Lytechinus pictus: one gene and its partner. The protein of the gene in region 1 interacts with the protein of each later gene in a pairwise test. Links are inferred from orthologs where the notes say so. Each region holds a gene or a part of one and is shown on either strand. Other genes may lie near its edges.

Region 1 (12,718 bases):
TTTTTTATTTTTTATTTCTCCTTGTACACAGACGGCTCGCTATCGTGCAGCCACCATTAGGGGTTAAGATTGCAAAATCCCCCCGACAGAGCTCATCAACTTTTGTTTTTATTTCATAAAAATATACAAAAAGAACTGTACCAAAATAAAGATTATTATTCTGTTTTGGCCTGAAATGCACCAAAACAAGGAAAAATAAACTTAAAAGGGGAAAAAACAGTGACTTACTTCGGCTGTTGCACAACTTCACTTCCCTGTTTTATCCGAACTTAATACATAAACATAGGGCCATTGAGTCCCTGTACAGATCGAGCTAGAACTTTGGTCTCTGTATTTGGTGAGTAAAGCCAACAGAGTTCAGCGGAACAGCCAACGATCTGTACAGCTTACAGGGGACTCAATGGCCATATATGTTTATGTATTAAGTTCGGATAAAACAGGGAAGTGAACTTGCGCGACAGCCGAAGTCACTGTTTTTTCCCCTTTTAAGTTTATTTTTCCCCATTTTGGTGAATTTCAGGCCAAAACAGAATAATAATCTTTTTGACTTTACTTTATTTTGGTAGTTCTTTTTATATATTTTTATGAAATAAAGACAAAAATCGATGAGCCCCGTCGGGGAATTTGCATTGTTAAACCCCTAATCATGGTGGCTGCACGATAGCGAGCCATCTGTGTACGAGGAGAAATTAGAATAAAATTAAAAATGTTAAAAAACTCCTAAACAGACGGCTGCCAGTGCCAGCTGTCTAGCAGTAGCACGAACATCGCTTGAGCAAATTGAGGTAGCCATTACCTCAGGCGATGTTCGTGCAGGCTCCACTCCACTTCACTACCGCTACACTACGCTCCACCTACCCGAACATCGGGACAGTGAACTTGATCGGATATTCCGAGTCATAAAAGGTGGGATAGCAATCATGGTTATTGTAAAAATTAAACAAAAAAAATATAACGAGGGATATGAATTACTTAATATCTTACTCTACACCCGTATTTCACTCCGTGTCCATCCTCCGGTTATCCTCAAAATTTGTGATTTTGGGCCAGTAATTGCCAGTATCTTTCTCCTCACACGTATTATTCACGGCCGATTTCAAATCATCGCATGCGATCGCGATCGGTCGCAGGTCAAACCGATCGCGATCGCATGCGATGATTTGAAATCGGCTGTGAATAATACGTGTGAGGAGAAAGATACTGGCCCAAAATCACAAATTTTGAGGATAACCGGAGGATGGAAACGGAGTGAAATACGAGTGTAGAGTAAGACTAAGAATAGATATTAAGTCAATCATCTTTTTCGTTATATTTTTTTTGTTTAATTTTTACGATTATCATGATTGCCATCCCACCTTTGTGACTCGGTATATCCGACATGGTTCACGGTCCCGATGTTCGGGTAGGTGGAGCGTAGTGTAGCGGTAGTGAAGTAGAGTGGAGCCTGCACGAACATCGCCTGAGGCACTCCTAGTACCAATGAGGTCCAAACATTAGCATGTATGGACCTCATAGGCGACAATGCGTTAAAAACAGGTTAGAACTCCTAACCGTACTGTTTCCTGCACCCAAGTATGATATTACTCCCAAAATATGAGTTTTGTCCTCGTTTGTTTATCATTTATTAAAAGATTGCCCATTAAATATATTCCTATTCCTAATTTGAATTTAATAAAATAAAGGGAAACTTACATTTGAGTCATTTTTCGATCTTTTTTGGGCAGTCAGTCCGGTCACCGTCGAGTGCGATCAAAGCGGTATGAAGCTGATTTTCAGATCACGTGATACGTGTGGTCATCACCTGATCAATCGACTATCCTTTTTTAAAGACCGCAACAATTATAAATTTTATTATAAAATATATATAGAATAAATTATTGCATAATATTATGTATATTTCTACAATTAAAAAATATTTTGTGATATAAATTTAATATTTGACGTAAAAATCGCTATTGAACAAAATATTTATTAAAAAATAAAAAATCAAACAAAATAAAAAAGCCTTGGACACAGTGCAAAAAACCTAACGATTTGGCCGCGTTGTTAACAACTATCGTAAGGGGCGCTTTATTCATAAATAAAAAAAAATGTACAGCTGTCTACCGCAACGTGGTTTGTCGCAAGATTTGGGACAAATCCGTGGGAATTCTGGAGAAAATACATCAAAAGAACAGGTGAGTACCGTTTAAACATTAACAAATTACTAAATAGATTATACATACCTTGTAGATTTAGTTTTTAAGGTGATATTAGTGCTTAGTTCTAAGCTAGGGAGGCCCAAACGCGCGTGAGCGGAGTCCCACTTTATTAACACGGGTAAGTATTGCGGTGTCGCCTAGAGCACTCATGGGATCAATGCATCTCGCGTGCGAAGGATTCATATGCACATGTGCACGCAAATTTTCACACCCTTTTTACTAAAATAACTATGCCATTGCTTTTAAAATAATGTTTCTAATTGTGCTATGACACTTACCGAACCATATGGATCGTTTCTCTTCTTCTCTTTGGTGTGTTTTTAAGAAAAAAAAAGCATTTTCTCGTGATCTTCACGTAGATACCGCAGGGTAATCGTGGTTGTAAACTTTTGCTTAAAGAGGGCGCGCGATATTATTCACAAGATGTTTGTTTACGGTTCTGCAGCTTGTACTGCTAGCTGCATTTTAGACGCTCAGCATTATTTTCCTCTTTCTGTTTTTTTTTTGCTGTCAAGCGGTATTTTCTATTGTAGCGCCATCAGCGATGATGAAATGTAAAGAGTCGCCTTGAAATGAAGAAAAATTATGTCACATTAATTCGTTAGTTTGTTTCCTATTTTTTTGCACTTTTTTCTTCTTCCTCATCTATGATCAAAGGTGAATACCTTTTTTTTATATCTGTTCTAAAAGCTGGACATTTTAAATATTTTGTTCAAGTAAATAAATCAACAGGATAGTAATCAAAATGCGATAGAGCTGCCCGAGCTGAAAATTCTGATACAAGGACTTGAAAATAAAACATTCTGAGCACTTTTTATAACCATGATGAGGAGACCTATATATACATATATATATATGTATGTATATGAAATAAGCTAACACGAAAAAAAGACGTTTTGCGGACTGTTAAATAAGAATTCATGAGTGGGATAGGTAACTATCTATTCTATCCTTGTTCGTTTTCTATTATTATTCGTGTGTTGTGTTTATTTTTCTTGAAGCACCAAAAGGTGGACATGTCCGCTAAGATATATTAACGAAGTCATCATTATTATCACAAGCTAACGGATCAAAATGCGAGCGTGAAACGTGAGCTTCTTTTTTTCTTAATTCAGTCTTAACGATACTTTTTCATCATATTTTAAAGGTGAATCTCATGATTCAAAATGATAAATGCTTGTCGCACGGGCAGAAATAGCGGGACCAATAGTTATTTTCAATATTCCGAACTGCATTCTGGACGTTGTATAAGCGCCTTTGTATAACAATTAAAAGGGTAGGCCTATTTACCTTACAAATTATGCGAGCGCTGAACTTTTGGACATTTAAACCTCAACAAATGGACATTTTTAAAATATGAACAACATCATAAATGTCACTTACAAAAATGATGCCAGCGCGAAGCTCGCGCTTATAGAGTTTTTGATATTGATGACAGGACTGTATCTAAATGAAAAATAATGCGAGGGCATTTGCGCTTAAGATTTAAATTTGGGATTTGAAAAGTCCGACAGATTACCTATACTTTTAAAAGAGGAATGACCTCCAGAATTCAAGCGCGAAGCGCCAGTAGATTTATGTTGAAGTTTAGACCTAGAACAGGGACGTTGAACCTTTATTTAATCATGAAAAAGATGGTATTTCTATAAATAAAACATGGGAGTCTAATTTTGTTTTAGTGTTAATATTCAGATCTTCAAACTTGACATTTTCCTATCCCCTTCATCATCCCCTCTCCTTCTCCCTTTCCCCATTTTCGTTCTCCCTTCTTTTCTTCTCTCCCTTTCCCTTCCCTTTTTCGCTTTTCCTTTCCCTTCTTTTATTTCCTTTCTCCCTCCCCTACTCTTTTCTTGCTCTTTCCATTTTTCTTTCCCTCTCCCTTCCCCTCTTCCTTTCTTTTGTTTTCTTTCTATTTTATGGTCTCCTTTTCCCTCTCTCTCCTTTACCTTTCCCCCTCCCCTGATCTGTCTTTCATTGTCTCTCCTTTCCTTTACCGCCCCCTCCATTCCCTTTCTCGCTTTTTCCTTTCCCTTCTTTTCTTTCCTTTCTCCCTCCCCTACGACTTGAATCGAGAATGTTCGATAGGAAAATTTCGCATTTCGATTGTTGTTTGCGTAATTTCCACCGCAATATGAGGATAACCAAGGACGGATCGAACGAAGTATCCTGGTTGAGATTTGGAGGTAAGCGATAAAAACACCTTAATAAATAATTTAGAATTCCTTTTTCAAATAATACGATCAAGATTAACATAGTGGACAAATATTGAAAGGCTTGGCGTAGTTTAGTCCCTCACATTCGTGTGATGAATGAAAACGTCAAAATGCACTATGAAATCACATGTGTTGTGCGAGGTTAGTAATACTAACCTCGCATGTTGTGTGAGTGCGCCTAGAGTAGGGTGTCTGAAGCCACACTGAAAAGTGTCAGCATAAAACAGGCTAATTTAGGGGAAAATATGGCACATTTTTTCGGGGAAGTTCAGGCTACTAGAAAAATGTGATCTGAATTGATTATTAACTTGTGTTTGGCATGTATGGAAAGAGAAAATTCAGGGGCTTCTTTTGACAGTAAGGACAAGTTTATATGATCATTTTAAATAAGGATTTAGAGATAAATTGCAAACCCTTATTTTTGTGTGTGTTGAGATTGCCATTCCTCCATGCGTTTTCTATGGGAAAATGAAATTTCTGTTTTGCACAATTTTTTTCACTTTGTCACAATTTTTCATTGTGATCTGGTTTCCAAATCTTTATAAAAATCATACCATCAGATAGAGCATAAAAAATTCTATTGGACTCTTTATGGACAAGTTTTTGGCATTAATAATAAATTTATAACAGCTCTCGGAAGCTAAAAAATTTGGATTTGTGTGTGTCCATTTCTTAACTACACAGTCTATGACTATGGCAGAGAAATGCTGAAAATTTACCTAATTTCATTCTTCTTTTTTGCAGCCAATAATTGGATTTTTTTCAAAAATTTTACATTTCTGTCAGTCTGAAGGTCATTTCTCTTCAAATTCACAAAGAAAATGTGATATTTTCTTGAAATAAGAAAAATATTTTTTTTCTCCAGACACCCTACCTAGAGTGGCCTGAGGTAGGTAGCCATAGGCATAGGGTATACAAACACAGAACGCAGTATGTGGGACAATGCAGTGACCCGGTGTCTGGTCGATAGACGTGTAGGCCTATAAATATATAAATAGAACAAGATTTCACCTTAATCGTTCCATGAGAGTTCACTCTATACAGCCTCGGTCCAAGAATGCCACGGAGTAGTGAAGCCATTTTCCCTTCTTGCTTTAGGGCCTAAATAAAGCTTGTAAATGCAGACTTCATTAACCTCGTCTCAGAAGCCGCGACATACAGCATACCGGAGTGCGGCGCACGCGCACCGGGCCGAGATGACGTGATCGAGGGGCCGGGGCATAACGCATGATGGGGGCGGCACAATTGTAAACCCCCCCCCCCTCCCTCATAAGAACTGTTGCCTTCTCCTTGATCCCTTCTCTTCAGAAATTTTGAAGAGAAGAAAGGAAGGAAAAATGGAGCCAATATAGGCCCATATGCATATGCCCTGGTTTAATACGGTGTGCAATTAAATGCACGTACGCCTCGGCCCACTTCAAAATCATGGGGCCGCTACCGACCCCTTCCCTCAGGTGGCCTTATATTGCGCAGCAAATACATTCCTTTTTTTCTGGGAAACGTTTTATTTCGGCCTAGATATGGCTATATATGAGAAAATAATTTACCCCATTTTTTAAAATTTCTTTTCCCTTTCTCTTTTTTTTTCTTGGTAGTGGATCGAACATATCGTTTTTTTTTTTTTTTTTTTTTTTTTTGGGGGGGGGGGGGGGCTAGCTGACCCTAAAGGCCCCGCCCCCCTCAATACAAAATAAATCAATGATTTTACTTATAGGGAATTTAATTACTAAATCGCAATTCTTTCCTTTGAATACCAACGTCTACCAATTAAATATCAAACATACAGTTTGATGATTGCAGCTTTCTTAATTCACCCCAATTAAAGATAAAAATGTTTCTGTGTTCTGTTCATATAAATTTCATACATTTATATTCACGCTCGACGTGACGTACGTCACAGAATATGGTGATTTGCATAAAAAGAGAAAATATAAAAGATATAGGTCATATATACTGTACATCTCTATCAAGCAAGTGTAAAATATGCTGAACATTTCATGTAAAATAAAAAAAATAATGACCCCAAATTCCTTTTATTTTACAAAACAGTGCACAACATAGGTGAATGAGATCCTGGAGATATGATGATGTGATGTGCACACTCACTTTTTTTGCAAATTTGACAGGCAGCTCTTCACGAAATAATATGTTGCAACAAAAGCGATTCCACACGCACAAGAATAAGAATTAAACTTTTAATATTTCAATCTCATCATATAAATAATTTCATACATGGAAAAACAAAAATCGTGAGTGATCGATCGAGTATTATTCCGGTGAAACAGTTCTCGGCATGTCTTCATGAATATTCATAAGGTGGGCTGATGATTTCATATCCCCACTTTCACTATCCCCATCATAAAGGAGAAACATCATTTAAACATTTATGAAAAAATGAAACAATTATGATTTCATGCAATAACATAAGAAATGGGGAAAGTGCGTGGATGTGACATCATCACATTAGGAAATGTCTTATTCAAAGTTATCAATTAACACCCCAATTTCGAATTCCTAACCCGATCACAAACGGCCCATCCCTCCTTTGCAAGAATGGTAATCCTGGCAAACACACACTCGCCCAGACGTAAGCCCCCCCCCCCCCCCTCCAGGAGAAGTGACCCTCATTGCCTGGTAGCACTGGCAGGGAGAGGGAAGAGAGACATATGCAATAGTCCTGAACTACTTTTGTTTTACTTATTCTAGTTTCGCCAATTGTGGGTCATTTTGCATCGTTCAAACTTCCATTTTGATCTTCATCTAAATTTCGAATCGTTTTTGGATATGCCAATGTCCTTAAACAAATAGAATACAAATTAATTATTCCTAGATTTTGTCAGCCAGGAAGCTAGGAAGCTCTTAAAATTATTACGTAAGATGGACAGCTGCAATCGATCCAACTTCACCCGCCGCTGGTCATCTTTGGTTGCTGCGTGTTATCACTCTTATTAGCTGTACGTACCTCCCCAGTTTAAACGAGAGAAATGAAACTCTCCCAAAAACTGAAAGTGGTGTGGTAAATTGGGTTCCTGTTTTATAAGCTGCATGGTGGGGTATATTTTAAACGGAAGAAACACGTCATGAGCCCACCTAATGAATATTCATGAAGACTTGCCTAGAACGCCTGTTCCACCGGAATAATGCAAATCTTTAAAATTTGATAACTTCGTTATTATTTTGTTATTCGATTTTGATGAAATTTTCAGCATTTTGCTTTGTGAATTTTACGCTATTTATTAGATATATTTATATCTTTAGCCTGGAGTATCCCTTTAAAACGTCATCGGGTATTTGCATGTAAATTTTGTGAAAAAAATCATGACTTACTTTAATTCATGATGAAATTTTAGCGTTATGCTTGTTTTATTTTCCCCCTATTTATTCAAATAAACTTTTTTTTTTTTTTTTGGGGGGGGGGGGGTGAGAACCTGTGAGAAACGTCATCACTGAAGCTCAATTTCTATTGACATGCACAAACAGAACATATATGAAATTGCCAGTCAACCAGCTCAGTTTTAGCATGGATCCATGCATGGTTTTAGGAAGAGCGCCAGCTTATTACTTTCCTTACTTTCTCTGTCAAATTAGACCTAGGGCCATGGGGTGGTATTCTGAGATCCATTTTATCTCAGATAAAATAAAATATTTTATCTCCGTTAAAATCAGTGAGATAAAATACCCTTAAAATCTCTCCGAATTGGTATTCTGAGAACAATTTTATCTTCATTTTATCTCTGTAAGACACACCTATTTTTTAATCAATATCCAATTAGAAACGCGCTTTTATAGCTCTCTCATATCGCTCAACCAATGGAAATCCATTCCGCTAGGAGGTGTGGCGAAGGGAGTGAGATTGCGTCAATTTATTGACTTCAATACGCTTGCACTATACGCTTGCGCGTCTTTACAGAGATTTCTTTTTAACAAAAATGGCAATACTCTCATCTTTTTTTCGAAGTCTATATCGCATCTTTTCAAGCATCATTTCAAAGACAATATTAGTCAAGAATAGTCTTATGAAATGCTTCCTGATTGTACAGGAATATTTTCAAGGTGTTGTTCTCAATGAATATATAATTTTTCTTAATTTTCATGCCAACATTTGGAGTTAATTCACTTAAAAATATTGACGAAATCAACGTCGCGGAGATAAAATAGCCCCTACCCTCTTTTAAGTTTATTTTATTTTTTCTTCAAAGTAACTTGGGCGCAAGCACATCACCCGCGTTGCAATGGCCAGATACGCGATGGGTATGTCTACGCAGCCACTGCTAGCTCTGTTGCGTATCATCATAGATACGCAAGATAAAATTTATACGCAAGATAAAATTGTAAATCTAATCTGAGAGATAAAATGTCATCTCAGAATACCAATTTCATTTTAAGAGATAAAATAAAATATTTTAAAGATAAAATGACCTCAGAATACCGCCCCTGGTCTTTGACCTAGACTATACGATATGTACCGTCATTTCTAATTCTGGTACCTATATTCCTACTTTCGGAACGCGGTAAGGTCTGTTGAAATAAACTAACTTTACTGTTTTACTACTTGAATTGATAATGTGAATGTTACTAGGGTACTGAACAAGAAATCGACCAATGGCCCATAAACTTTTATTCTATATGACTCAGCTAGCTTTTTTGGTCGGGTCATTTTTCAGGTTCAGTCCCACTCGCGTGAAGCTGTGTAGGGGGCCTGTAGGGTATATTTGCGTCATCAATGTGTGGGTGTGTGCCCCGGTGCACTCTAGGCGACACCGCAATACTTACCCGTGTTAATAAAGTGGGACTCCGCTCACACGCGTTTGGGCCGCCCTAGCTTAGAACTAAGCACTAATATCACCTTAAAAACTAAGTCTACAACTTACAAGGTATGTATAATCTATTTACTACTTTAAATAATGTTTAATCGGTACTCACCGGTTCTTTTGATGTATTTTCTCAAGAATTCCCAACGATTTGTCTCAAATCTCGCGACAAACCACGTCGCCATAGACAGCTGCATATTCTTTTTTATTTATAAATAAAGCGCCCCTTACGATAGTTGTTAACAACGCGGCCAAATCGTTACGTTTTTTGCACTGTGTCCAAGGCTTTTTTATTTTGTTTGATTTTTTATTTTTTAATAAATATTTTGTTCAATAGCGATTTTTACGTCAAATATTAAAATTATATCACAATATATTTTTTAATTGTAGAAATATAGGGCCTATATAACATTATGCAATAATTTATTCTATATATATTTTATAATAAAATTTATAATTGTTGCGGTCTTTAAAAAAGGATAGTCGATCGATCAGGTGATGACCACACGTATCACGTGATCTGAAAATCAGCTTCATACTGCTTTGATCGCACTCGACGGTGACCGGACTGACTGCCAAAAAAAGATCGAAAAAGGACTCAAATGTAAGTTTCCCTTTATTTTATTAAATTCAAATTAGGAATAGGAATATATTTAATGGGCAATCTTTTAATAAATGATAAACAAACGAGGACAAAACTCATATTTTGGGAGTAATATCATACTTGGGTGCAGGAAACAGTACGGTTAGAAGTTCCAACCTGTTTTTAATGCATTGTCGCCTATGAGGTCCATACATGCTAATGTTTGGACCTCATTGGTACTAGGAGTGCCCCGGTGTGTGTATAGTGATATTTGACGGCCTTGTAATTACCGAACGTGCTCATCATATTGATACCATCAGTATCATAGTCATATGCGTCAGAAAATAATTTCACATGCTCAAAACTTTGTAACACCTTTCCAAAGGCAAAGCAAATGAAACTAAGTACCGGTACATGAAGTAAGGCCAAGGGAACATTGAATAGAATTGTCAAAAAGTAAACAACACTCAATAGACTAGACAGGAATAACCGTCGTTTCTGGGGATTTATTCAACAATTTCTGACATTTTACTGTAATCCCTATTCACCTAGCCAGGCGGCTTCTTGAGAGTAAAAATCATTTACTAACGTAGGCTTACTCAATGAAGCCAGGGAGTCCTTCCTATTCATCAGCGTGTACCGCAAAAAACCCTGAAACTTTCGCCCCCGAGATTTCTACTTTCCTTCTAAAACATCTAGCCATAAATCATGTACATGGGATAAAACTTCATTTCCGACATTTCTACGCTCTCGTCCGTAACGTTGGGGAAGTACAATAAGAAACGAGATGGCGGCGTAAACATCGGGCAAGTCTCTTCCGTCTTTTCACAATATTTTTTCATTTTTTTGATGAATTCCTGTTTAAAAATAACAACGAGAGCGTAGAAATGTCGGAAATGAAGTTTTATCCCATGTACATGATTTAGAGCTAGATCTTTTAGATGGAAAGTAGAAATCTCGGGGGTAAAAGTTTAAGGTTTTGGGGTCCTTCGTGTAGGTGAATAGGAAGGACTCCCTGGCTTCATTGAGAGTAAGCCTACGTTAGTAAATGATTTTTACTCTCAAGAAGCCGCCTGGCTACATTCACCGACGGTAGTGTGTTAGTGCGAGCCTGCATGTGTAATCTGGTCGGCAATTCGGAGGACGGGTTTTGTCCAGATTTTAATTTCTTTTAGATTATAAATGACATTATATTATCTTGAACGCGAAGGCCCACTATTTTCGTTAGACTCTAATCTTTCTTTTGATACTAAGTAAGTTCTATAAAATATCAAAAATATACGTTACCGATGAGTTATTCCCCGGGTTATTCCTTATTTTTTAAATTTTCTGCCGGAGAGGAAAAAATGGCAGCCGTCAACGAGTTGTGCTTTTATCAAGGCTTTCCGATTAAATTTTCGATATCCTGGCCAATCAATGCGAGCGACAGGTTCCGAACGCACGCACATCTACAAGCGCAAAGCAGCGGCACAAATCGCGATATATAGCGACTGGTAAATACGTCTGTAAGGATGATGACGTCATCAAAGATGGCAACTTACGTTGACCAACGAAAGGATCGAAGATGACGATGTTTCGCTCATCATTTGAAAGGAATTAGCGGTAACTGCGGTCTTAGGTACGATATTTCTGAATTTAAATTTTTTTTTCATAAATATGGATGTGATTTCTTTTTCATAATGTGACATTTTATGTACAAAAAAACGATCGGAAAATCAGGTTTCCGCCGAATGTTAGATCTAACGTTTCTGCTAATATGTTCTCTGTACGTACGGGCCTCCAAGCTCTTCAGTCTATGTATTGGTGAGTGAGCCAACGCAGTTCAGCAGAACAACCAAAATACAGAGACTGAAGCTTTTGGTCTAACAACAGACCAGTCGAATAGAACACCTTTTCAAAGAAAGACTTTAGATATTCTTAAAATCATGAAATATGCCTCAATTTAATGGTTAAAAATAGCTCATCAGTGATTTTGTTGTTTTTTCAACTTTTCCCGTAGAAAGAAAACGTTCGGCAATACTAACATACCTTGTAACATACCTTGTTGTGGGCGTAAAGTTTTACCTATAAAACTTGTTTGCCCCTCTCCTCCGTCCAATTTCTTGAAGTCAGTAAAGTGGAAGATAGACTGGTACTGGTTATATGGCGATGTGTGGTTTCAGCAGGTAAAGGTGTTAATGAAAGCATGTGCAAGTTAGTGCTGCAAGTCAGGCGCCATGTTCGGGTTCGGTTCGGTTCGGCAAGGTTCGGCAAAAATTTGCCGAACATTGGTTCGGTTCGGGGTTCGGTAATGATATGATAGACTGATAAAGCTATAGTTCATTCAGGTATACGTAGCGTACCGGTAGACAATTTGTACTTGATTGACTGCATGTGCTCGCGTGTCCTCTGTCACATTAAACCATTTTATCTCTATCTTGTTGACATGAAACTATGAAAGTTATAGCGCTCAACGAATCAACTGTTATCTCGAATTTGATTATCTGATGACAGATTTATTGGGTAATTCACAGTTCTAAAATGGCGACTCTTCCTAGTCGTCCATACCTGGACCACACTTTGGATACTTGCCAAATTACCGGTAACTACGCCGCGCTCGCACTCGTACCAGCTAGGCCAGCGCATGCAGTCCCCTTGTAGCGGGACTCTGAGCTCATGAATATTTATATATACAGTCCGGCCAAACGTGATTGGCCATTGCATCACATACGAGGCGGCCAGCGCCAGTGCACTGAACTGTAGGCATTGTAGGGCCAGGGGCGTGTCGAAGAAAGTGTGCTTATGTAATGCGCCTTTCGCTAATTGGCTCGATGGGTGAACTAAACTACCAATCGCATGTGGCTGATTGTCGCATCGGTACATACAGTCACGTGCTTTGTCTGCTCGCGAAATTAACTCAGCTCACCGATA
Region 2 (12,648 bases), on another chromosome or scaffold:
AAACCAAGCTCAAAAGGTAAACAATATCAAAATAGGCAGGATTTGATCTGCTTCTTAAAGGTCAAGTCCATCAAAATCGAAGTCAGGGGGAATCAAACTTTGTCTCAGATTACAATGAATATACCGAAAATACTTCATATTCTACAGTAAAATATTTACACTGTAAGAAAGTTATGACATTTATGTGTATTTAAATATTTCAGCTGCTTATTTTTCATATAAACAGAACATGTACAAGTCAGTACAGGTACAACAGTGAAAACACATACATGTATGGAAACGATAGTCCATGAAACCACTTTTACTTGCTATTTCTTTTGAATATCTCAGTGTTTGCTGATTGGACAATTTATAAGGAAACTCTTAAATTTGAATCACAATTTAGTTGTGACACTGGTAAGATGATATCATGACTCCACATACTGTATATGTAATTTAGAGGTAGTCTATTTCTCAGACCTACATAATTTAGTACACCTCATGTATTTACCAGGACTGGGCAACCGCGTAGCCAGGATATCATTTTGGAGGGGGCGGTAAATGCACGCGAAGCGTGCCAACACTTACAGAGCACACGAAGCGCGCTCCCTAGGGGGTGGGTGCAGGGAGGGGGAGTTTCCCCCCCCCCCTTGCGAAGCGCAAAGCTTTTGGTGTTTCATAAATTAAAATGAAAAGGAGCCGTCTCTCTTGTCTCTAGTACCTATATCAGCCCCAATTCAGTCGACTATTGTGATTTTGAACCTTGTTTTCAAAAGTGATTGTGAACGCACAAAAAAGGGATAAAATGGAGGAAATTAACACCGCGCAAAGCGCAGAAGCGAAAGTGTTTTATCAATTTTTTTGCAAAGAAAAGTGTCCCGAGAAAAGGGTATTCTCTAAGTTATATTGAATACTTCCTTTGGAAAGATCAGATTTGGTTACCAACAATTTAGCGACAGTGCATATCTTTAACTCGCAAAACAGAGGAGAAGGATATATGCCGGGAGGAAGATATTCCTCCCCGCGCAGAGCAATGAAACTCTGAAATTTCAAAGGGCGGACGTTTCGTCAAATGCAGATATCTCTAATACCCCCATCTAATTCAGTTGTTTTTCCTCTTAGATTATTGAACTTCATTACAAGGAAAAATTGTGCGCAAAGAGTTGAAACTTTTGTGATTTATTAAAATTATATAAAACAGGATGATGTATAATTATCCTGATGCGCTTCATTTTTAATGATAAAGAAATTTAAGTGTCATTCAAAATTTCAAGCTTAGGGTGCAAAATAGGACAGGAGATTAATGTGTAGGGAAATGACATGAAGTTGAGTAGAATTTGATAAAAAATATTGTACTCTTCTTATTTAATACAACACAAATATTTTATACCTTCCTCTTTTTAAATTAGGAACCTGTTTGCCCCAAATTATGATTATTTAGTAATGAGCTGAAAAGCGGGATAAGTTGCCTATATGGAGGTGACGGCATAAAATGATATAAAGATTTTACCCGCCCGGAGCCGACCCGACCAGAAGTTGCGCGACCAATAAAAAAAAAATAACTTCATATACTTCGGACTATCCTTACTCTAATTCCATGCCCTAATATATATATTTGAACTTTAACTGGCAAGAAACACGTATAACTAAAATAGAAAAACAGGGTTAGAGAAGTGGTGAGGGAAACAAAGGGGAACTGCAATATCATTTAACCGCGCGCAGCGCGGAAGCAAAATCCTTGTATATAAATTTAGAGCAAGAGTGAAGGAGTTTCTTTTTAAGAAAAAAAATAAAATAAAAAAGAAAAACCCACAAAGCTACCTTTCTTCCCTTTCCTTCTTTCGCTTTTCCTTTTCTCTTCTCTTTTTTCCCTTTTTTTTTCTTTTTGGGGACGTTTTGGGGGGGGGCCCTTGCAGTTTGCTGCAACCACCCTGTCTGTGTTGACTGACTTGAATCAATGCAACACATACTCCAAATAAAATACTATTCTTCATTTATAATTTTAGTCATCAGACATCATAATCTTGGGAATTATTATTTTGCATTCCCTGAGCGCACAAAATCTACAATTTTCAGCATTTACTTTGTGATGCCCTCTACTGATGGAAAGTAAAAAAAAGAAAAAAATGTCAAACTCCCTTTTTATCTATGAAAAAATAATAATTGACTAGTTTTGTGCCAAGATGAATAATTGCTGTAGAAACTAATGTAACTGTGCCTAAATTTGAGCATTTATCCACTAGATCAAGAGCAAGTAACCTAAAACATTGCCAATTTTATTTCAGCACACAGAGGTTACCTTGAGATTGGGGTCGGGGGAGGGAATATTGTACATTAGGTGTCCAATGCATGCATGCATGCTCTCCCAACAACAGCAATCTCACAAAGATAAAACTATTCGATACAAAAAAATACATGCATATTGCATACTGTTTTTAAAAAATAAAATATTGTCTGGCTACTTGTACTGTACATACCATACTATTACATGTACATGTATAATGACACATCACAAATATGCAATGCAAAGATGCCAAATGTTGCGAAGAAATCGATGAACACGTCCCACTGCACTGGGAACAGAAGACCGGCACGGGATGAGAGACTCTTTGCCTTGGTTTGGGCCTTTCCAAAAAGGGAATCTTGAAGATATATATCTTCTTCCCTTTTTAAACACCTACAGTATGAACTTAATAATGCTACCATTATGATAACATGCATGTCCCTGAATCAGGGTGCGACATACATGTAAGCGCTTGCCCGATTGCCCGGGGCAAGTAAAAGTTAGAGTCGGGCAAGTGTTTTGAAGTAAAGACAAAAAATACTTGCCCGAAATTCTCACTGTGAAATGAAATTTTACAAAGTTTCCCCATACTTCACATGCAAAAATAAAGAAGAGAGAGAGAAAAAAACAAAGTTAACAACATCCCTCCATTCAAATTGCAAGCCAAAGTGAACAAGCTCACATGAAAAATAGATTTTCCAACAAAATAATCACAAAATCGGCAGGAATTTTTTTATACTTATATGGATTCTCAGATTACTGATTTGGTGATGTGATCGGAGGAGCAAGTTATTGAGTTTTCATTACTAGTTTCAGCCGTTGTTTTGAGTGTTGTTGTGATCGGTGTAGTGGGAAGAAAGATGCGTGCAAGTCCACGATGCCGCAATGATTCATTTGATTTTTAAATTTGTCAATGTTTCTCTGTGAAATTTTATTCATTTCTAAAACGTTTATTTTTCCAACAATTTTCAAAATATATTTTAAACAAATATCAGCAAGATTTTTGTTAGATGATTGCATTTTTTGTTTTGTTTCAAATTTGAGCTTTCTTCCTCTTTCTTTTTCTTCCTTCCTTCCGTAAGTAATCCTTACTTGCTACCTTCCTTCCTTTTTTCTTTCTTTCTTTCTTCCTTCCTTTCTTTCTTTCTCTCTTTCTATCCTTTCTTCTATCTCTCCCGCTTGCCTTTTTTGTTCCATCTATCTTTCTTTTCCATCTTTCCTAGCTTTCTTTCCTGATCTTTTTTCTCTCTCTGTTCATTTTTTTTCTTTCCTTCATTTTCTTACATATGTACTTTCCTTCTTTTTTAAAATTTCTTCATTTTTTTCTTTTCTCTATTTTTTCTTTGCTTCCTTCCCCCTTCCTGACCTTTTCCTTTTTTTCTTTCTTTCCTTCCTTCTTCCATTATTTTTCTTTTTTTTTATTCTCTCTTCACTTCATTCTTTTCATCCTTTCTTTCAATCTTTATTTTCTTCTTTCCTTCTCTTTTTCCTTATTCATTCTCTCCTTTTTTGCTATTTCCTTCCCGTTTTCCCCTTTCTTTCTTTCTTTCCGTCCGTCCTTCCTTCCTTCTTTCTTTCTTTAAAAAAATGAAGGAAATCTTTTTTCCTTCATTCTCTCTTTCATTCCTTTTTCTTACTTTCTTTCCCCCTTTTTTATTTCTTTCCATTCTTTCTTTCACCCAATAATTCATTTTCCCTTCCTTTCCTGTTCTTTTCTTTATTAATTCAAAGAATGAAGGAAAACCTTTTTTTCTTTCCTTTATTCTTTCTTTTTTCTCCATTCACCTCTTGTTTTTCATTTTTTCTCTCCTTCAATTTTTCCTTCACCCATTCTTTCACCTTCCCTTTATCTTTCTTTCTTTCTTTCTTCCTTCCTTGAAAAAAAAATTACAGAGTACAATAGTTCACGTCTAAAGAGAGGAAAGGGGCAATGGTATATAAAACCATATTACTCTCTTTTGCAGCGGTAAAACATTATTTTGAAGGATTTTTTTTCGGACAAGTGAAATGTATTTTCGGGCAAGTATTTTCCAACTATTTAGAAATTCACTTGCCCGACTAAAGTGCTTCTAAAAAGTTATGTAGCACCCTGGATCTTTCTTTACAACTATGGACCTATGAAAAGATCCTAAACAATGTCCTCTATATTGTTGCGTTAAAAAATAAAAGGTAAGCATGCCTCTGGATGGATTATATCCTTTATCATCACCTATTTTTTAAATGCAATTGTACCTGCGAAAATAATCATAAGTGTGACCTAATGTTCGTCTCCGAAAATCCAGATTAGCATCAAATTTTTAGATTTGACTCCGATTCTACTAATGGCTGTATATTCATCAACCAATGAATGAACAATTTCCATCATGCTCATTTACAGGCATGTTTTTGCACATACATGTATATTGTCTATGTTTAGCGCGCACATGTTTTTTAAGGACCGATCCCCCCCCCTCCACAAATTTACGGCCCATTCTTGTTGCGCTTGCAATATATTCTCAGTCTTTCAAATCAGGAGACCTATAATGTCATCGTGTACACGTGTTGGTTGCCTCGCTACTTCCACCACAAACTCTGGTGACTTATTATGACAGATGTATTGGTTCAAGTCCTTTAAACAGCCGTTTGAAGTGGGGATCGGGTGGGTTCAACAAATTTTTTATATTCTGTGGATTTCCTAATCCTACAAGATATCCCACTGATCAGGCTATCTTAAATATATCATACAAACTTAAAGTTTAAGTTCACAATCCACCTCCATAACCCCTCGCCAAAAACGATCGCTTTTTAAGGTCATTTATGCCCACTTTTTTTCTGAATATCACGATCATGAACAGCTGTATTTTGGCTTTGATCTCGATGTCATCGTTCAAATTCTCAGTCAGACATCGCTTCACTTGGCTTCGCCGTAATTTTGATATGGACCAAGTGAAGTTAGTGACCAAAATCATTCTACCATGTGGTGAACAAACGGGTGAGCTGCTGCTGGCAGATTTTTGGGTTGCCAATTTTAGTCCATACAAAATCTAAAGTGAAGCAAAGCATGCAAAAAGCCAAAGCAAAACGATGTCTTAATGAAAATTCACAAATGCAACGACATCGAGCCGATCGCAATGTTCAGAAAATCAGTGGGTATACTATTGACCTTCAAATGTGATTTAGAGACTTGCTATGACAGTTGCGAACAATTACTTGGGGAAATTTGCTCAGAGTAGGACAAACAAAAACTGCATTTAGCACCCACAAACAACATAACAAAAAGGTGATATTGCCATTGCGGCGCTAATGCAGTTTCGCACCGGCCGACTTCAAGCAAATTTCACACCATTGGCTGCTTGCAAATGTCATAGCAAGTCTCTCAATTACAGTTCAAGGTCAATATACCCACAGCTTTTCCAAATATCACGATTCAGAACGACTGTATTTTGGCTTTGATCTCATCACCGTTCGAATACTCATGCAGTCAGATTTCGCTTCACTTGGATTCGCAGTAAGTTTTATATTATGGAATGAAGATTGGCAGCCAAAATCATGGGAACATATGGCGAACAAAAAAGGGTGAGCTGCCGCAGGCAGAACATTTGATCATATACTTCAGTCCATAAATTAACGACGGCGAAGCCAAGCAAGCCAACATGGCCAACTCTGAGATGAGTCTGATGAATCAACATGATCAACGTCACGACTGAGCATTTGCATTGTCAATGACACCTCGAGATCGATTGAGCCGGCAGACTAGAGTAGAGATCTAATCGTGATATTCGGAAAAAGAGTGGGCATTATTTTGACTTGTCCTTGAAATTTGATTGAGAGTCTTGCTATGCCATTTATGGACATTTACTGGTAGTGGCACTGGTGAGGGAATTCTCTCGAAGTCAGCGGGTGCAAAACTGCATTAGCGCCCACGATTCCTTGATATGTGTAGCCAGGCGGCTTCTAGAGAGTAAAAATCATTTACTAACGTAAGGTCACTCTCATGAAGCCAGGGCTTCCATCATATACTTTTGTGTGTAGCACCAAAAAACCTGAAACTTTCGCCCCCGAGATTTCTACTTTCTTTCTAAAAGATAAGCTTGTAACCGATTTTGCAATCGGCAACCGATTCCATTCGATTTCACAACAATCGGCGATCACTTGCCGATCTTCGATCATGCCCCTTGAAGGAAAAAATCGGATAAAAAAATCGGCATACCTGTAGATCTAATTACAGTGCGGTCAGAACATATTTTAAGATTGTCCTTGCGGAGGTGCTAGCTATTTAGAGCTTTTTAACAATCGAATAGTTCGAACAATCAGATTCCTGGAATGTCAGAAATGACTCATAAAAGGTTGACCTACTTATGATGACCTACCGGTAGCTGCGCTGAATGGTATGGTGGGAGTGGAACTTGGAATGAATGTATTGTACAATACAAACAAGGAACATGTACTTGTACTGTGTTTGTCATTTATCCCGCCCATGAGTGCACACAATGGCCAATAGCAATGGAGTTTGAGAGCTGTATGTGACTGCATGGGTGCATGAATGTGTTGTATGCATTATGTATGCTCGTGCTTACGCTGATAAATCCCGCCCATGAGTGAATGCAATGGCCAATAGCAATGGAGTTTGAGAGCTGTATGTGACTGCATGGGTGCATGAATGTGTTGTATGCATTATGTATGCTAGTGCTTACGCTGATAAATCCCGCCCATAAGTGAATACAATGGCCAATAGCAATGGAGTTTGAGAGCTGTATGTGACTGCATGGGTGCATGAATGTGTTGTATGCATTATGTATGCTAGTGCTTACGCTGATAAATCCCGCCCATAAGTGAATACAATGGCCAATAGCAATGGAGTTTGAGAGCTGTATGTGACTGCATGGGTGCATGAATGTGTTGTATGCATTATGTATGCTAGTGCTTATGCTGATAAATCCCGCCCATAAGTGAATACAATGGCCAATAGCAATGGAGTTTGAGAGCTGTATGTGACTGCATGGGTGCAGGAATGTATTGTATGTATTGTGTATGCTAGTGCTTGCACTAATTTTTGTCATAATCCCGCCCATGAGTTCACACAATGGATGAATAGCAAGGGAGTTTGAGAAATGTATATAAATGCTGGGGTGCATGGATGTGTTGTATATGCTAGTCAATGCCCTGCTTAAATCCCGCCCATAAGTGCACACACGGCCTAGGTACGAATAATAGCAAGGGAGTTTGAGAGCAGTGTGTATGGATGTGTTGCCTGTTGTATGTATCATGTAAGCCATACTTGCGATGATATATTGTCATTAATCCAGCCAGTGAGCCAACTCAAAGAATAGCACTGTTAACGTACAGTGTCAATCAAATCCACCACGTGCACATGCCAAAAGGTAGTGTAAAGAACTTTGCGCTAGCCCGTTGAGTCTGGGCGGTTCCAATTCTCGGCTATGCCTCAAAACTATACTTGTATTGTGTGAATGCTTGCACGCATTGCGTAATTCACTGATATTGTTGAGTGGGTGGGTATACAAAAAGATCGATAGTGAGGCGTGACTTAACTTTTCCCAGAACTGATGTACCAAGTAAGCTATTATAACAAAATAGGTGTACTTTGGAATGGTTATTGGGCGTGGCTGTAATCACATATTATAATGAGCGAACTTAGCTGAGCTCAGCTTCACATAAAAATACTTATAAAAGATGTCCCGCCGATCGTTCATTGACCTGTGATCTACGAGAATTATTTTCCTTTGCGACTTTGCTCGGAAGATGCGTCATTCGTTATCTTTCTAATAAAAATAACTCATTTTATTGTAAAGCAGTTACGGTAAGCCTCAAAACCCTTTAAAAGCATGTTCCAAACGATCGCGCATGTCAACGACTTCCATTCCTAAACATTCGTCTTTGTGACTTTGTCAGGAAGATGCGCGCGACCGCGAACAAAATGATGATGTATTCCTTTGTTTCTAAACATCGCCGATTCGATTTTCGATTCGATTTCGATTTTAGAAGCTTAACTGCCGATCCGATTTTCGATCTGATTTTTGATCCGATTTACAACATTACTAAAAGATCTAGCCCTAAATCATGTACATGGGATAAAACTTCATTTCCGACATTTCTACGCTCTCGTTGTTATTTTTGAACAAGAATTCATCAAAAAAATGAGAGAAATATTGTGTAAAGACGGAAGAGACTTGCCCGATGTTTACGCCGCCATCTTGTTTTCTATTGTTCTTCCCCAACGTTACCCGTCTCTTCCGTCTTTACACAATATTTCTCTCATTTTTTTGATGAATTCTTGTTCAAAAATAACAACGAGAGCGTAGAAATGTCGGAAATGAAGTTTTATCCCATGTACATGATTTATTTTAGGGCTAGCTCTTTTAGAAAGAAAGTAGAAATCTCGGGGGCGAAAGTTTCAGGTTTTTTGGTGGTACACACAAAAGTATATGACGGAAGCCCTGGCTTCATGAGAGTGACCTTACGTTAGTAAATGATTTTTACTCTCTAGAAGCCGCCTGGCTAGATATGTTTACCGTAGTTGCACATGAGCGAATTCACCAACTGCACTGCACTAACGTTACTCACCAAAACACGATGTTCACACACACGAACAGAACAGCGCTTGGTTGCGTGTTTTCCCACACCAAAAGACTTTGAATATTCATCACCAGACCTTCTACTGGGCTCAAAATGCTCTTAAGACGTTCCTCTCTAGCCCTTGTTATAGATTCTCTCTCCAATTCCTTCATTTTATCTTCAGGAAGGGCACAAGGGACCCCAGAAGTCCCGGCTCTTGCGAAATTGTCATCCCCGTCCATTTTGCCATTTAACGTTTGTTATGATATGACGTCAGACGTCAGGGAAAAAAGTTCGGCCACAAAAAACTAGTCTGCAGGCACAGACCCTGATTTAATCTACTAACTGACCACTGCATGGACTTACCTCATGGGCAAGTTTGTTATAATGGCATTTCCTTTCTTTTACTACGAAAGGCAGATTTCAAAGTAAGAAATTCATGTGGGGAAGAGTTCCTTTTGTGACAGCCACCCCAAATTGAAATGAAAATATGGAGATCTAGAAGGTTCAAAATAATAAATCCAGGGAAAAATATGGGGGTTTGAGGCAAATTCACCCTCAAATTGTTTTAAACCCCCACCCCCCGGAAAATCCGAATTCACTGGCTAGTACTTATCCAATGTTGCAGATTAAGGCAGTAGGTTGTGAAAAGTGAAAAGGTTGTGAAAAAGAGGGGGAAAAAGGAAAAAGGGGGAGGAAGGGGGAAGGTAAAAGGAAGAACAGAATTAAGAACAAATTGTAACTAATTTGCAATGCCGCATTTGATTCTGAATACTATCTTTTGCTCTCTTTCCTTCTTCTTCTTTCTAGTCTTCCCCTTCTGTTCTCTATAAATCTCTTGCCTGTCTTCTCTCTACGTCTGAACCCCTCTTCTTGCTCATCTCCCTCTCTCCCCCTCTCTCTCACACTCTCTCTCTCTTTCTCTGGCAAATATCAAGCAATGGAGAATACATACTAAGTGGACAATGATGAAAATACTTCCTAAAATCACTACCACCAGGCACACACATTATTTTTTTTATCTGAAAAAGATTTATTAATGTCATTCCAAGAGAGAGAGAAAAAAAGTCATTTAAGAAAGTACTGATAAACGAATCACCTCTAAACACCTGAAGTTAAGAAAAAATATATGAACATAATCATTCGGTATAATTACCAAAGGCGCATTCTCACTGAATACTAATATAATTTCTACTCATGATTAAGCAAAATAGTACAGTGAACTCTGTCCAAGTCAACCTTCCATAAGTCAAATAATCGTCTTGCGTCAGGGCATTTTTCAGACCTGGGCCCCCTAAACACAAAGGTTAATGATTATATAATCGGTAGCACTGTGTTATGCTGCCCAGGGCCCCGTCTTACAAAGAGTTACGATTGATCCAATCAATCGTAACTCTATGGAAATCCATCAGTTTCATAATTTTTTTTTACAGGAAATTTGCACGATGTCCTTTGTAAACAAAGAGAAGCACAGTGAATTTTCAAGAAAACAATGAATGCATCATAGTTAGAAAATATTTTGAACAAACATGCATAATAGATGTTGACATTGCTGGCCGTCCATAGTTGTGACTGATCGGTTCAATCACAACTCTTTGTAAGACGGGGTACTGATGACTGTTTTATATAGCTGTTTGTTACCAACAACTCCAAAATAAAGGAATACATCAATTTTTCATGTTGCATAATAGCAGAAATCGCATTGATTCTAGGAGTGACTTTTGGTGGTGCCTCATTGTTATTTATGGCAAGTGAGCAAGCCAGTCTTAATCAAATAATAATAACTTATATCATAGAAAAGTCACACCCAAATCATTGATCATCTTGATTCTTTTAATGGAAGTCAGACCACAAGAAACATTTTTTTCGTAAGTTCTTTATCAAATTTTCTTTTTTTCCCCATTACTACTGACCCTTATCTTAAAATGCAAGGCATCATAAGCATAATTTACAAACAATTTCTAAATATCTACATAGCCAATATTACCTTTGCGAATATAGATACCTGAGAGTTTTCATTCAAAATATTTCCACTTCTTGCGGATACAACCAGTTGCAAATAACATACAGACATAAACCTATACTCTAGAGCAGAATTACAAAGACTTTTTGTCTAAAATATGAAAACAAGATAGTGTACTAAGTTAGGAGCCTTTTATGAAGAAATCTGTCAAGGGGTGTTTCACAAAGAAATATGTATGACTTCTGGGGTGTTGCAAGAAACTTGCGATCAATTGCAAGTCTATTTTTGGTCTCTCAATCAATGATATGTCTTGCAGTTAATAGCAAAATAGTGATTGATTGCTAATCTGCTCCTTGAAACAAGAAGTTTAATATGATTTGCTACAGCTAACATTGATCTATCAGTTGTATAATTGCAACAGAATATTTGCAATTGATCGCAAATATTTTCTTACAACACCCCCTTAGAGTTGCACTATCACCACATTGGTCATATCATGCTTAAGAGGACGCGAACTACCGCGTAAAAATCGATAAGATTGCATGTTCAATAATCATGTGCGCGTCAGCACTGTAAGCATGACTTTAAGTCATACTTAACTCTTTGTGAAAACCAACTAGGATATTCAGTGACAATTGACATTCTTACATCTCATTGGTTGCAAGTGAAAATCACAGACAAGATGCTGTGAGAAACGACAAATGATTTATAATAACAAAAACCCACAATATACATGTAAAAACTTATTGCAAAAAATCTAGTATGTCATCTTATCTACTTAAATGTGCAAGTACAGTATCCAATGCTGATTTTTGTTCATCTACTTGATGATATTCACGGGACATAGGAATCCCACTTGAGTAAACTTTTTTGGATTTAAAAGGTAAACTTGTGACAAGTGTTTTGTTGAAAGTAACTTATTAGAGACTACATGATTATGCTTGTTGATGTAGAAATTTTCAATTTGAAACAGAAAAGTTATAAAAATCAGCTTTGTTAATACAATATGTAAGTTTCCTGATATTAACCTAAGTTCATGAATGGCTCTTGTATTGAAGTTCATAACACAATGATCATAACAAACACATAATCATAGAAACAAAGAAATAACGACCAAACTTTTTGTGTTGTTTTGATCAGTTTAACACCACTATTTTCAGGTTGTTTGTATACTCATTTCTTGGCAAATAATTATTTAATTTATCCAAGGATTTCGATAAAAAAAGTAATGTACAAGGAAAGAGACTGCTTGATGTGAGACTATACATGTTTTGCTCAAGTCGTAATGTACTAGAATTCAATTCCATTATACCTTGCGATTGGAGAACCGTAAAAGGCATGTATTCTATTGCAGGATGAAGATGCATAATTTTTCTTCTTAATAACTTACCGAAATATCAATTGAGATTACTTCAGAGAATTTAAACCCATTTTAAGGTGAGTAAGTACCAAGCACAGTTGTTCTAATGTGAAATATCAGCGTTGCCATAATGTACTGCACACATAACTTCACATATACATATATATCAAAATAACATATGATCTTAAATACAAAATTAGCAGAATAATTCATTCTCTGTGAATATGAATAAGGAATCAAAGAGTTGTTAAATTCAGGCCACCTGAAATTATTGAAAGACTCGATATATATTATGCTTGCCAAAATGGCAGGTACGTGTAAGAATCAAGATCCAAGATAGTGGAAATCAAACTATTACAATATACAATCATTTAAAGACTTGTAATATTCTGATGTCACTAATGGCTATTTTCAGTTACACACAAGTACAAATCCAAATAATTATTTCATTAATATAAATTCAAATTCAATTGCATTTAGAGGCAAATCAAGTATCATAATGTAGGTAAT

Evidence for each region.
Region 2: the proteins of phosphatidylserine lipase ABHD16A-like (region 1) and reticulophagy regulator 3-like interact in binary tests that used the Homo sapiens proteins (3 or more experiments, as listed by UniProt). The link is inferred for Lytechinus pictus from reciprocal best matches to the Homo sapiens genes ABHD16A and RETREG3.

Annotation. Positions count from the first base shown.
Region 1 is NC_087259.1:23,735,450-23,748,167, forward strand, and holds the start of phosphatidylserine lipase ABHD16A-like, read right to left. Parts: upstream 5,589-12,718; 5' UTR 5,495-5,588; coding exon 5,426-5,494; intron 1-5,425. UniProt on the Homo sapiens protein: Phosphatidylserine (PS) lipase that mediates the hydrolysis of phosphatidylserine to generate lysophosphatidylserine (LPS). LPS constitutes a class of signaling lipids that regulates immunological and neurological processes.
Region 2 is NC_087257.1:20,067,948-20,080,595, forward strand, and holds the start of reticulophagy regulator 3-like, read right to left. Parts: upstream 6,702-12,648; 5' UTR 6,687-6,701; coding exon 6,613-6,686; intron 1-6,612. UniProt on the Homo sapiens protein: Endoplasmic reticulum (ER)-anchored autophagy regulator which exists in an inactive state under basal conditions but is activated following cellular stress.